3 linked regions of the Cricetulus griseus genome follow. The protein of the gene in region 1 purifies or fractionates together with the protein of each later gene. This does not show direct contact. Links are inferred from orthologs where the notes say so. Each region holds a gene or a part of one and is shown in the gene's direction. Other genes may lie near its edges. The genes, in order: Smad7, Acvr1b and Tgfbr2.

Region 1 (3,747 bases):
AACCTGCCGGCGGCGCACAGGCGAGCAGCACCCCTCCTCCCTCCAGGATGCTGCCCCTCGCTGCTCGTCAGCCTGCCAAATGCATTCCAGAGCTGTGCACAAGACACACTTCTCCAGGCAGTCCTAGAAACCCGAGCCCGGAGCGGGAGAGGGCGGGAGGGAGCACGGCGGCCGCTGAGGTCACATTCGCGCCGCCTCTCCGCCCTCGGCCGCCCGGCTGTTCCCTCTAGCGCACACTTCCTAGGGCCTCTGTCCTGGCCGGTGTAAATGTCTTTGAAACAGACAGCGTTCTCCTCCCCTTTCCAAGGGATCCGCCGCCAGGGCCTTAAAACAAATCGAATGAATGAATCGCCGGGGCGAGCTCCGCTGGTCTAAATCGGGCCACCGACCGACTCGCTCCTTTCCAAACTCGCCCGCTCCATGCCCCCAGCTCTTCCGATTTCTCCCCTGCTCCCGCTGGGTCTCCGTCGACCCCCGGGCTGTCTCGGCCTCCCACCTCCCTCCACCCATGCGTACCCCTCTGCAGACCTAAGAGAGGGTGGCGGTAACGGGGGGGGGGGGTTGAAATAGCTTTTAGAAACCCGATCTGTTGTTTGCGAAACACAATCGCTTTTTTTTTTTTTAAAGCGACAGGGTGTCTAGACGGCGTGAGGCCCCGGGCGACACTCGCTAGCAGATCGGCGCACAGAGGATCTTGTCCCCGAGCTGCGCCAGCAGAGCCAGCCGGGCGCCTCGCTCGGTCCGCTCGCCGCGCCGGAGAGAGCTGCCCGAGACGCAGCCAGCCAGCCGGCCGGCGCCACGCCGCCGAGCGCTCGGCCCCGGAGTCCCTGAGTGCGGCGCGGCGAGCCCCCAGCGGCGGCAGAAGGACTCGAGCGCCAGGAGAGGGCGGACGGGGGACGAGGAGGCTCCCGGGCGAGACGAGGAGAGTCTCGGAGGAAGAGGCAGCGAGAGGACACCCGGGCCTCCTGCCGCCACAGTCGGTTCGGGGCCAGTAGCTCCTTCGGGCAGCCTCTGCAGCCACCGGCGACCAGGGGAAGGGGCATCGGCGGCCCCCACACTAGTCTGCTGCTTGTGCCCTCGGGGGCGAGAGCTTGCGACCCGCCGGAGCCCGCCGCCGCGCCGCCCTCCCTTGCGCTGACAGCCCCCCGGGGCGCAGCCGCCGCCGCAGCATCTTCTGTCCCTGCTTCCCCAGAGCCGAGGAAGTCCCCGCCGAGGACCTGGGCCCCCGGGAGCGCAGGAGGAAAGACCAGAGACTCTGAAACACCCAGACACGCAAGATTGAAGCAGCCTAGCCAGACCCTTCTGTGGATTAAAAGAAATACGATTTTTTTTTTTGGCAGAAGAAAAGGAAAGGAAGACCCGCAGGGTTCTGCAAGGAAAAAAAAGGGGGGGATGTAACTCGTGGATACGTTTTTTCCCCACCCCTCCAACATCTTGTTCTACTTTGTAAACATTTTCTCTTCTAAACCCGGGCTCCATCCGGTGGCCCCCAGACCTCCGAGGTGCCAGGAGGTGTTGTGTGTGTTTTTTTTTTTTTTTCATTGGGGGCTTTGCATATTTGGTTTTGGGTTTTTTTTTTTTTTTTGAGAGACCCTACAGACGTCTCACGCGGGGTGAAGTCTACTCGGCCCCCTCCCTCTAGTCTTCGCGAGCACAGAATTCGAGGAGATCCGGTTACTAAGGATATAGAAGAAAAAAATAAATCGTGTGCCTGCTTTTTTTTTTTTAATTGCCTGCTTCTCCCCACCCCCAAATTAAGTTGCTTAGCAAGGGGGAAAGAGGCTTTTTCCTCCCTTCAGTAGCACAGCCTAACGCCTTTCGTTTTTTTGCCCCCGAGGATCTTCCATGTAGGAAGCCGAGGCTGGCGAGCCCGACACTCGGGAGCTACTGTAGGGGGGCCTCTTTTGGGGGAGGCGTCCACCGGGGCAGTCTCGGCCGCCCCCAGGGAAGCGGCGGCCGCGTTTCTCCGGGGCGCGCCGGGGCCCGAGAGCCGCGCAGGGCGCGGGCCGCGCCGGGTGGGGCAGCCGAAGCGCAGGCCCCGATCCCCGGCGGGCGCCCCCGGGCCCCGCGCGCGCCCCGGCCTCCGGGAGACTGGCGCATGCCACGGAGCGCCCATCGGGCCGCCGCCGCTCTTGCCCGGGCCCCTGCTGTTGCTGCTGTCGCCTGCGCCTGCTGCCACAACTCGGCGCCCGACTTCTTCATGGTGTGCGGAGGTCATGTTCGCTCCTTAGCCGGCAAACGACTTTTCTCCTCGCCTCCTCGCCCCGCATGTTCAGGACCAAACGATCTGCGCTCGTCCGGCGTCTCTGGAGGAGCCGTGCGCCAGGCGGCGAGGACGAGGAGGAGGGCGTGGGGGGTGGCGGCGGCGGCGGAGGCGAGCTGCGGGGAGAAGGGGCGACGGACGGCCGGGCTTATGGGGCTGGTGGCGGCGGCGCGGGCAGGGCTGGCTGCTGCCTGGGCAAGGCGGTCCGAGGTGCCAAAGGTCACCACCATCCCCATCCCCCAACCTCGGGTGCAGGGGCGGCCGGGGGCGCCGAGGCGGATCTGAAGGCGCTCACGCACTCGGTGCTCAAGAAACTCAAGGAGCGGCAGTTGGAGCTGCTGCTCCAGGCCGTGGAGTCCCGCGGCGGTACGCGCACCGCGTGCCTACTGCTGCCCGGCCGCCTGGACTGCAGGCTGGGCCCGGGGGCGCCCGCCAGCGCGCAGCCCGCGCAGCCGCCCTCGTCCTACTCGCTCCCCCTCCTGCTGTGCAAAGTGTTCAGGTGGCCGGATCTCAGGCATTCCTCGGAAGTCAAGAGGCTGTGTTGCTGTGAATCTTACGGGAAGATCAACCCCGAGCTGGTGTGCTGCAACCCCCATCACCTTAGTCGACTCTGCGAACTAGGTAAGAAGTTGTTCTGTGTCCACCTTTCGTTCCCTCCTGCGCGGAAGTGTTGGTAGAATTCCCAGGGTGTGTGTGCATCCCCCTTCTGGAGGAGAGGAGGGAAATAAAATCAGGGAAGGGACAAGGGGAAACTCGGACATTCTTTGGGGTTCCCTTTCATATTCTATCTCCCGCCTCCACCCTCTGGTGGAGGACCCATGGAGACTGTTTATGCTTATAGTGAACAGACATGCTGCAGAAAATGAGACACACTTATTTCCGGGTCAGCAAGGGAATTCAGAGCGAAGTGGGGATCACGCTTCCCCCGCACCCGGATAGGCGTTGAGGTGTGTGGCCGAGTTGGATTCTGTCCAAGCCCGCCAAGGAAGGTTGGGAGAAACTAGCTATAAAAGTTGGAAAGTCTCCTCTCCTTTAGTAAATAAGGACAGTCACGTGGGGCTCAAGTGGCCCAGATACTGCCCTGGCCTCTCAGCTTTGGAGTTTGGGGGCTGTGGTAGGATGGAGACCGAACTAGGTATCCACTGTTAGCTATGCCAGCCACAGGGTGAGAAGGAGCAAACAGCCTGGAGAAGTTGGGTCCCCTACTTTTACCTTTATTTCGCACCGAAAAGCATACCATTAGTGGTCCTTAGAACCCCAGCCCCCTGTGTCTCCCTTTTCTTAATTGCCCTGGAGCCTGGCCTTCATAGCTGGGACCCTGAGCAGGTTCCTATACCTATATTATCGTCCTAGCTCTTCCATGCCTTCTGTTTTCTCCACATCTTGGTGTTCAGGGTAGAGGGGCGTACCCTGCTTCCCTCAAGTCTTCCAAGTTCAGCAGCACACTTAGGGTGCTTTTTTTCTCGGTGGGCTAGGTAGGATTC
Region 2 (3,647 bases), about 230 Mb from region 1:
CAAAACCCAAAGCTCACTGATTGGCTGGACTAGCTGCCAACAAGCCTGTGATCCTCCTATCTCCACCCCCAATTCAATGCTAGTGTTACAGGAACATGTATCATGCCTGTAAGGATTCAGGCATTATGCAGGCCTGCCCCTGTCACCTGGCAGAATGTACTCAGGCAGTACCCTGGTCAGCATGCAGGTGCAAAGGACCCCTTTAAAAGAAAGACCCTGCCTACTTATGCTGGCTCTCTTTCCTGCTGTTCCCCTGGGCAGACAGGACTTTTCCTGTCTCCCTCTTCTCTTCCGTTCTGTCTCTGTCTCTGTCTCTCTCTGTCTCTCTCTCTCTGTCTCTCTCTCTCTCCTCTCCCCCTGCCCCTTTCCCTTTCTAATAAAACTTCTCACTAAGCTCTGTCTGCCTGGCATGTTTGTACCCCACCTCGGTCACCCTCACCTGCCATGGAATCTGCCAAGGTTCCTCACACTTTATCATATCATAACAATGTCATATTTTTATATGAGTGGTGGGAATCCGAACTCAGGTCCTCAAGTTTGCACAACAAACACTTTAAGGAAACACTGAGAGGATTGTATTTGATACTGATCACAGAGGTAATAATTAGAACACTGTCCAAAAGAGATAAGAGGCCTCTACCAGTCTTCCAAATCATAAAAATGAAATACACAGAGCTCTCATGGGACAAGGGGACAGACACCTGGCAGGTAATATACCTGTGACACAGAAATTGTGAGGTAATTGGCCATGTTTTAGAAGTGTCTGGCATTTGAGACACAGCTCTTGCTCTGTGTCACAATGACTTTAGAGGCTAGTTGCCACCGAGCCTGTGGGAAATGCTCAGCTTTGGTTTTGCTAAGGCAACAACAGAGCTCATTCCTCATGATGCTGTGGGATTGGTGATGGCCCCAGCTGCCCCCAAGCTGAAGAGTTGTGGGTTCAAATATAGGGGAAGAAGGGAGTGTGTCAGCCCTCTGAGGAAGCAGCTCCACTTCCAAATGTCCTAGAATCGTTAGAAGGTGCAAACCATCTTCTTGTAACAAACCAGTGGGCCTTCAGGAAGTAGTTGCTAGTTAAGAGTGTGGCCTTTGTAGTCAGAGGTGACGAGGTGCAGACATTTCCAGCAGTTGTTGTCCATTGATTATTATGTGAATTGTGACCTCGGCTGGTGCCGCCACATTAGGGTCAGGAGGAGGGAAGTCAGGCTCCTTTGTTTTTGCCTTTTTACCATGATCTGTGTAGGGTGATGCCCTGGAACTAGCACCAGCCTAGAATTTGGAAGCTCTTAGTCAGTCCAATTTCTAATCTTCCCAGTGACAACAGCGTAGCCTCATTTGATTCCTGGCCCTTTTCTTCCCTCCCTTCCTCTGCCATCCACCTTCCTGCTGCCGCTTGTGGAGAAGAGAGAAAATGCAATGCATGCTGTCCACCTTGCATTGCTTCTCTGAAGGACAAGTTGGGCTTCCCGGGATACTTCAGAGTGGGCTATTCATGCATGGAAAAGCATGTTTGGTTCTGTAACAGTACAAAGGAGATCTTCCTGCTGTCACCGTGGCTCCTAGCCTGAGGATGGCCATAGGCTGCAAAGAAACATTTCCAGTGAGACGAGTGCTGGGCTGGGTTATAATCAAAAGGTCACACAGCATTCGGGGAGGGAAGAGGCCTTTGAGGTGTTACTTCTTGGCAGTGGTGCGAGTAGCCTTATGAGCCTCACATCAGGGTTGGAACCTGTTGCTTTCCCTAATCACAGATTGTTCTTTCCTGGATGCCCCACATTACAAATTTTGCAGTAAAATGTTATATTGTTTAGAATTGTCCCTGCTTCTTTTCAGTGTTCCCAGCTGTCCCAGTCACTTGTCTGTCTGTAGTTTCGATAAAACACTACAACCAAAGCAACTTAGAGAAGAGTTTCCTTTGTGCCCACTGTTCAGAGTTGAGTCCATGATGATGACGCAGGGGCAGCAGGCAGCAAGCTGCGAGCTCACAACTTGAACTACAAGCAGAAGGGTGGCTCAGGACTTTGAACGCCTCAAAGCCTGCCCCCAATGACATAACTTCCTCAAGCAAGGCCCCACCTCCTAGGCTTCCCTAACAGCCACCAACTGGGGGTCAAGCAGTCAGATGCCCAAGATTATTGGGGGACATCTCATTCATACAACCACACTTGGATAAGGGAACAGGCCTAAAAAAAGTCCCCTGTCTTCCCTGGAGGTTGCTATAGGGAATTGGGCTCAAGGGGCAGCCAGAAATATAGAGGCAAGAAATGTAAATTCAGGGTCTTCCTGAACCTGGCATTGTTTGTTTACATGACAGGCCCTCTTCCTTATTGCTTACTGTTCCTTCTGTTCAGACCTTCTTTGTTTTCTACAGACAATGGCACCTGGACCCAGCTGTGGCTTGTCTCTGACTATCACGAGCATGGTTCCCTGTTTGATTATCTGAACCGCTACACAGTGACCATTGAGGGGATGATTAAGCTGGCCCTGTCTGCAGCCAGTGGGTTGGCACATCTGCACATGGAGATTGTGGGCACTCAAGGTGGGTAGTGAACTCAGCTCAGGAGCAGGAAGCTTGAGACAAAAGGCCTGTCCATCGCCATTTGGTCCTCCTCACTGAGGTCACTGGAGTCAAACTTTGGGAATGGTACTTTCATCTGAGAAACAGAGTGCCAAACTATCTGAGCAGGAACAAAAGCCAAAGGGGGTTTCTCCATTGGCTCTGTCATTAACCCTCCCCTAGGGAAGGTGTGAGGTGAAGGCTTGGCTGCTGTTAATATGTGGCACAGTGTGGTTTAAACAGCATGCTGGGGTGCACTGTGAAGGAGTGGAACTAAGAAGAGGCCTGCGCATCAGAAGCAGGAGTGTAGTAATCTCGTGCTGAGGTTGGGCAGTGACAAGACACGGGGCCCACCTCTCTGCAGGTTTTCCTGGAGAGGACCCAGGCTTTATGCTACATGGTCCTGTCCACTCCAGATACTGGAATCTCCCTCTAGATACTGGGCTTGCCCCAGCAACTTGGTTGACCCTGGGCAGTGGCTCTTACTAGGTGAGGTAGGAAACTAGCGTGGCAGTCAGGCCCTAGTGTTACAGGACTAATGGCACTCCCAGTCTTCAGCGCCATCAGCTCTGTGCGCTGAGTTGTCCACCTGACCCATGTGGGCTCTTTGCGGCTGGTGAGCGGTAGTGGTTTAGTGTTCAGTAATAACCATGTCATTCTGAGGCATGTCAACTCCTTCTGGGAATGCTTTATCCTCCCCACATTCCCATGAAGTGCCATTATTCTAATGTCCAGCTGCTCGTGGGATCACTGGCTTGTGGGAGGCAGAGCCAGGACTTGGCCCACAGAGTCTGGCTCAGAATCTATGCATTTTCCATGTATGCATCAACCTTAAATGTACCTGGTTTTGTCCCTGCCAGGGAAGCCCGGAATTGCTCATCGAGACTTAAAGTCAAAGAACATCCTGGTGAAGAAGAATGGCATGTGTGCCATTGCAGACCTGGGCCTGGCTGTCCGTCATGATGCGGTTACTGACACCATTGACATTGCTCCAAATCAGAGGGTGGGAACCAAACGGTAGGAAGGCCCTAGGCTCCAGCCCTCACTCATCAGCTTGCCTGGATGCCCCACAGAGGCGGAGATGAAGGAG
Region 3 (3,647 bases), on another chromosome or scaffold:
TCCCTCTTCCCTCACTGACCCTCTGCACCCCAGGAGGAAGAATGATGAGAACATCACACTGGAGACCGTTTGCCATGACCCCAAGCTCACCTACCATGGCTTTACCGTGGAGGACGCCACTTCTCCCAAGTGTATCATGAAGGAAAAGAAGAGGGCCGGTGAGACTTTCTTCATGTGTGCCTGCAACGTGGAGGAGTGCAATGACCACATCATCTTTTCAGAAGGTGAGTGTCGTCTCTGGTTGCAGTCCTCCAGGGACGCCTGCCGCGCAGAGCGCTGGTGCACGCTGGGAGGAGATGTGTCCACTCCTCTGGAAGACAGAGGTACTCAGGAAGCAGTGGAGTCCATGCTGGCCCTCCACAAATTTGACTCCCTAGGGTTCTTTTTGGTATCTGGCATTGGCAAATAGTTTCTTTCTCCCAGAGCAGTGGTTCCTCAGGTCCATTCTCAAGGTAGCAGCAACAACTGGGGATTTGTTAGAAATGCGAATTATTATTATTTAAAATTTATTTTCTCTGTGTGAGTATGTGCACAGTGTGTGTGTGCACGCGTGTGCATGGGTGTGCCCCATGCGTGCATGCACACACATATGTGATGCCCAGAAGCCAACCCTTAGGTATTATTCCTCAGCCCCCATTCACCTTGCTTTCTGAAGCAGGGTCTCTTGCTTGGGGAATGATTAGGTCGGGCTGGCTGGCCAAAGATACTGTTCTATGTGGAACTGTGGATACATAATGAGTGTAGCCAAATATGCTATGGTGGTACTTTTAATTAATGAATTAATTAATCTGTATATTTATTTGCTCATCTTTAGATAGTCACTATGCTGCTTAAGTTAGCCTGTAATTCACTATGCACAACCCAGGCTGGCGGCAAATTTGGAATCCTCCTGCCTCAGCCCCCTGAGTGCCAAGGTTACAGGCATGATTACTCTTGATGTCGAGATGTTTCAAAACATTCCTTTCATTCATATATTATTTCTGTGAAATAAAACACACTTTAGAAAGCCCGGCTGCTGGAGCCTGATGAATGTGTACAATGGGTCAGCAGCTCCACCGTCCAGGAAGTACCTCTCAGCAACTCCCAATAAGTTCCCTCATGTCTCTTGGCTCATGTTCCTGCTGGGACTCTTATTTTTGCTTTTTAAAATGTTCTTTTGTTCTTCCTGTCTTTTCTGACTTCCTGTTAAAATGGATAGCCATGACACAAATCCTTTTAAAAACTGAGTGCTGCGTGCCCTCAGTGTCTGAGTGCATGATGTTACTGTGTTATTCAATCTCCAGATGCCCCAAACTCTAGACAGATTGATGGATGGATGGATGGATGGATGGATGGATGGATGGACGGATGGACAAACAATAAGATGGACAGACAGACAGGACAGACAGGCATATTGGCAGGTCTTTTTCACAGGTCTACCTGCTGCATGTCAGACCCTTCAGCAAAAGGGACAGATTACAGAGAGACCTTGTCATCCAGTCAGAAATCCATCGAAGCATTCTCAACTGGCAGCCTGCAGGATAGCTATGAATGCAGACCAAAGCAAGATCATGAACTTACTCGAAACTTTGTAGGGTGTGTTTTGTTTATTATTTTATTTTGTGTGTGATTGATCTTGTGGTTCTCCAGCGTGAGCTTTGTAGAAGACAGCATGTCAAAAGGCTAGGCATGCCTGGAAATGTCTCTGCTTATGCTGCCAGCACCCAGGAAGACAGGTTTCGTGCAATGCCTGGTAGCTTCAGGGACTCCTGCATTGGCCAAGGAAAAGGAGGATGAGAGAGTGTCAGAAGCAGAGGGGACACTCACCTGAAACTGCCCAGCCCTCACAGCTGTCCCTGAACACATCTCCCTTCCTGTCTCTGAAGATCTCTTCAGCAGCAAGACCTGAGAACCTACCCAGTTCTCATCTAAAATCAGAGTGCAAAGTAGAAGAGGGAGCATATGATGACCAGGTGACAGCCATCCACCAGGCAAGACGTGGTGGATGCCAGGACTGCAATGCAGTCTGAGGTGTAGGAAAAGAAAATGTGTTCAAGAGCAGTTGCCTTGTGACTGGGAGATGGCATGCCACCTTTGCAAGACATTTATCTATTTCATTTTCCGTTTTTGTTGTATGTGTACATGCGGTGTCTGTGTGCATGTGTTTATGCATATCTACACATGTGTGTGCACATGCATGCAGAGGCCCAAGGTTGACACTGATTGTCTTTCTCTATCGATTTCTACATGGTATGTTGAGGCAGACTCTCCCTGAACTCAGAACTCACGTTTGGGCTCACCTGGTTAGCCATCTTACTCTGAGGATTCCTGTCTCTGCTTCCAGAGTGCTGGGATTCCAAGAGGGTTGCCACACCCGTACCAGCTGGCTTTGTGTGTGTTTGGGGATCTGAACTCTGGTCCTTATGCTTTGAATGCAGCAAGCATTTCACCCCCTGAGGCATCTCTCCATGCCCCGTGCAAGACACCTACTAATCTCTGTATGAACTGCTAGGACCCAAAGGTGTTCACTGTCTACTCCTCTCTTTGTTGACTTCATTAGTTCATTTCTTACCTTTTCCTTTCTTCCTTCCTATCTAAAGTCTTATGTACCCCAGGCTAGTTTTGAATTCACTATATAGCAGAACATGACCTTGAACTCCTGATTCCCTTACTCCACCACCCAAGTGCCAGTACCATAGGTGGGCATCAGACCTTCCCAGCTTTTACAAGTGTATTCATGATCTAAACTGGGGTCTTTAAGCTTGTGCGGCATGCATTTTATCTACTGAACCACCTCCCAGCCCAGCCTTGTTTTTGAGAACAGGTCTCTTGATGGCCCAGAACTCACCAAGGAGGTTGGACTGCACACTGAGCCCCAGGGATCCATCTGCCATTGCTTCACTGGTGCTAGAATTTTAAGAGTGCTATCTGGCTTCAGGTATATCCTGGCATCTGGGTTCTCCAGCTGAGCTCTGGAGAGGCCCTGAGAACAACATCCTGATTTGTAGATCCCAAACCACAGGCACACTGGGAAGGCTCCCTTTGTTTTAATATGTGCCTCTTTCAGTCTCTCTTTTCTCCCCACATACCTTCCCCAGTCAAAGAGAACATGCTGAGTGTAGGATTTCTAATCAAAGCTAACCACAGCACCTACATTGCTGGATAATATTACAAATTAGGCACGTTGTTCCTGTTTTGACTTGGGATCACAGCAGGAAGCCGCTCAGTAACAGTGAAAGGGCTTGCAGTGCCTTTCAGATCAGTGGCTGGAGTAATCACACTCTGGGCCAGTCCCTTCTGCTTCTTTATTTCCACAGGAAGCTTGCTCGGGGGCTGCATGGCCTAATCTCTGCATGGCCATGCTATGCTTTTGAATTAGTGCTACAGTGGCATCTCAGGATGATTGTCAACACTCTAGAGTCCCCAGAAACTGCACAGAGAGCATCTTTATATAACACAGCTGTCCTAGTTAGGTTTCTATTGCTGTGACAAAGACCATCCAAAGCAAACTGGGGAGGAAAGGGTTTATTTGGCTTATATTTCTCATCATTAATTCATCACTGAGTGAAGCCAGGGCAGGAACTCATGGCAGGAACCCAAGGCAGGAACTGAGGCAGAAGCCATGAAGGAATGCTTCTGTTTGGCTTGTTCTCCAAGTGTGCTCATAT

Evidence for each region.
Region 2: the proteins of Smad7 (region 1) and Acvr1b purify together in Homo sapiens (affinity purification with western blotting; 3 studies listed by BioGRID and IntAct, with this or other methods). This does not show direct contact. The link is inferred for Cricetulus griseus from reciprocal best matches to the Homo sapiens genes SMAD7 and ACVR1B.
Region 3: the proteins of Smad7 (region 1) and Tgfbr2 purify together in Homo sapiens (affinity purification with western blotting; 3 studies listed by BioGRID). This does not show direct contact. The link is inferred for Cricetulus griseus from reciprocal best matches to the Homo sapiens genes SMAD7 and TGFBR2.

The regions. Positions count from the first base shown.
Region 1 is NC_048595.1:164,565,345-164,569,091, reverse strand, and holds the start of Smad7 (mothers against decapentaplegic homolog 7), read left to right. Parts: upstream 1-936; 5' UTR 937-2,268; coding exon 2,269-2,884; intron 2,885-3,747. UniProt on the Homo sapiens protein: Antagonist of signaling by TGF-beta (transforming growth factor) type 1 receptor superfamily members; has been shown to inhibit TGF-beta (Transforming growth factor) and activin signaling by associating with their receptors thus preventing SMAD2 access.
Region 2 is NC_048595.1:397,639,423-397,643,069, forward strand, and holds part of Acvr1b (activin receptor type-1B), read left to right. Parts: intron 1-2,371; coding exon 2,372-2,539; intron 2,540-3,417; coding exon 3,418-3,574; intron 3,575-3,647. UniProt on the Homo sapiens protein: Transmembrane serine/threonine kinase activin type-1 receptor forming an activin receptor complex with activin receptor type-2 (ACVR2A or ACVR2B).
Region 3 is NC_048597.1:223,207,978-223,211,624, reverse strand, and holds part of Tgfbr2 (TGF-beta receptor type-2), read left to right. Parts: intron 1-33; coding exon 34-224; intron 225-3,647. UniProt on the Homo sapiens protein: Transmembrane serine/threonine kinase forming with the TGF-beta type I serine/threonine kinase receptor, TGFBR1, the non-promiscuous receptor for the TGF-beta cytokines TGFB1, TGFB2 and TGFB3.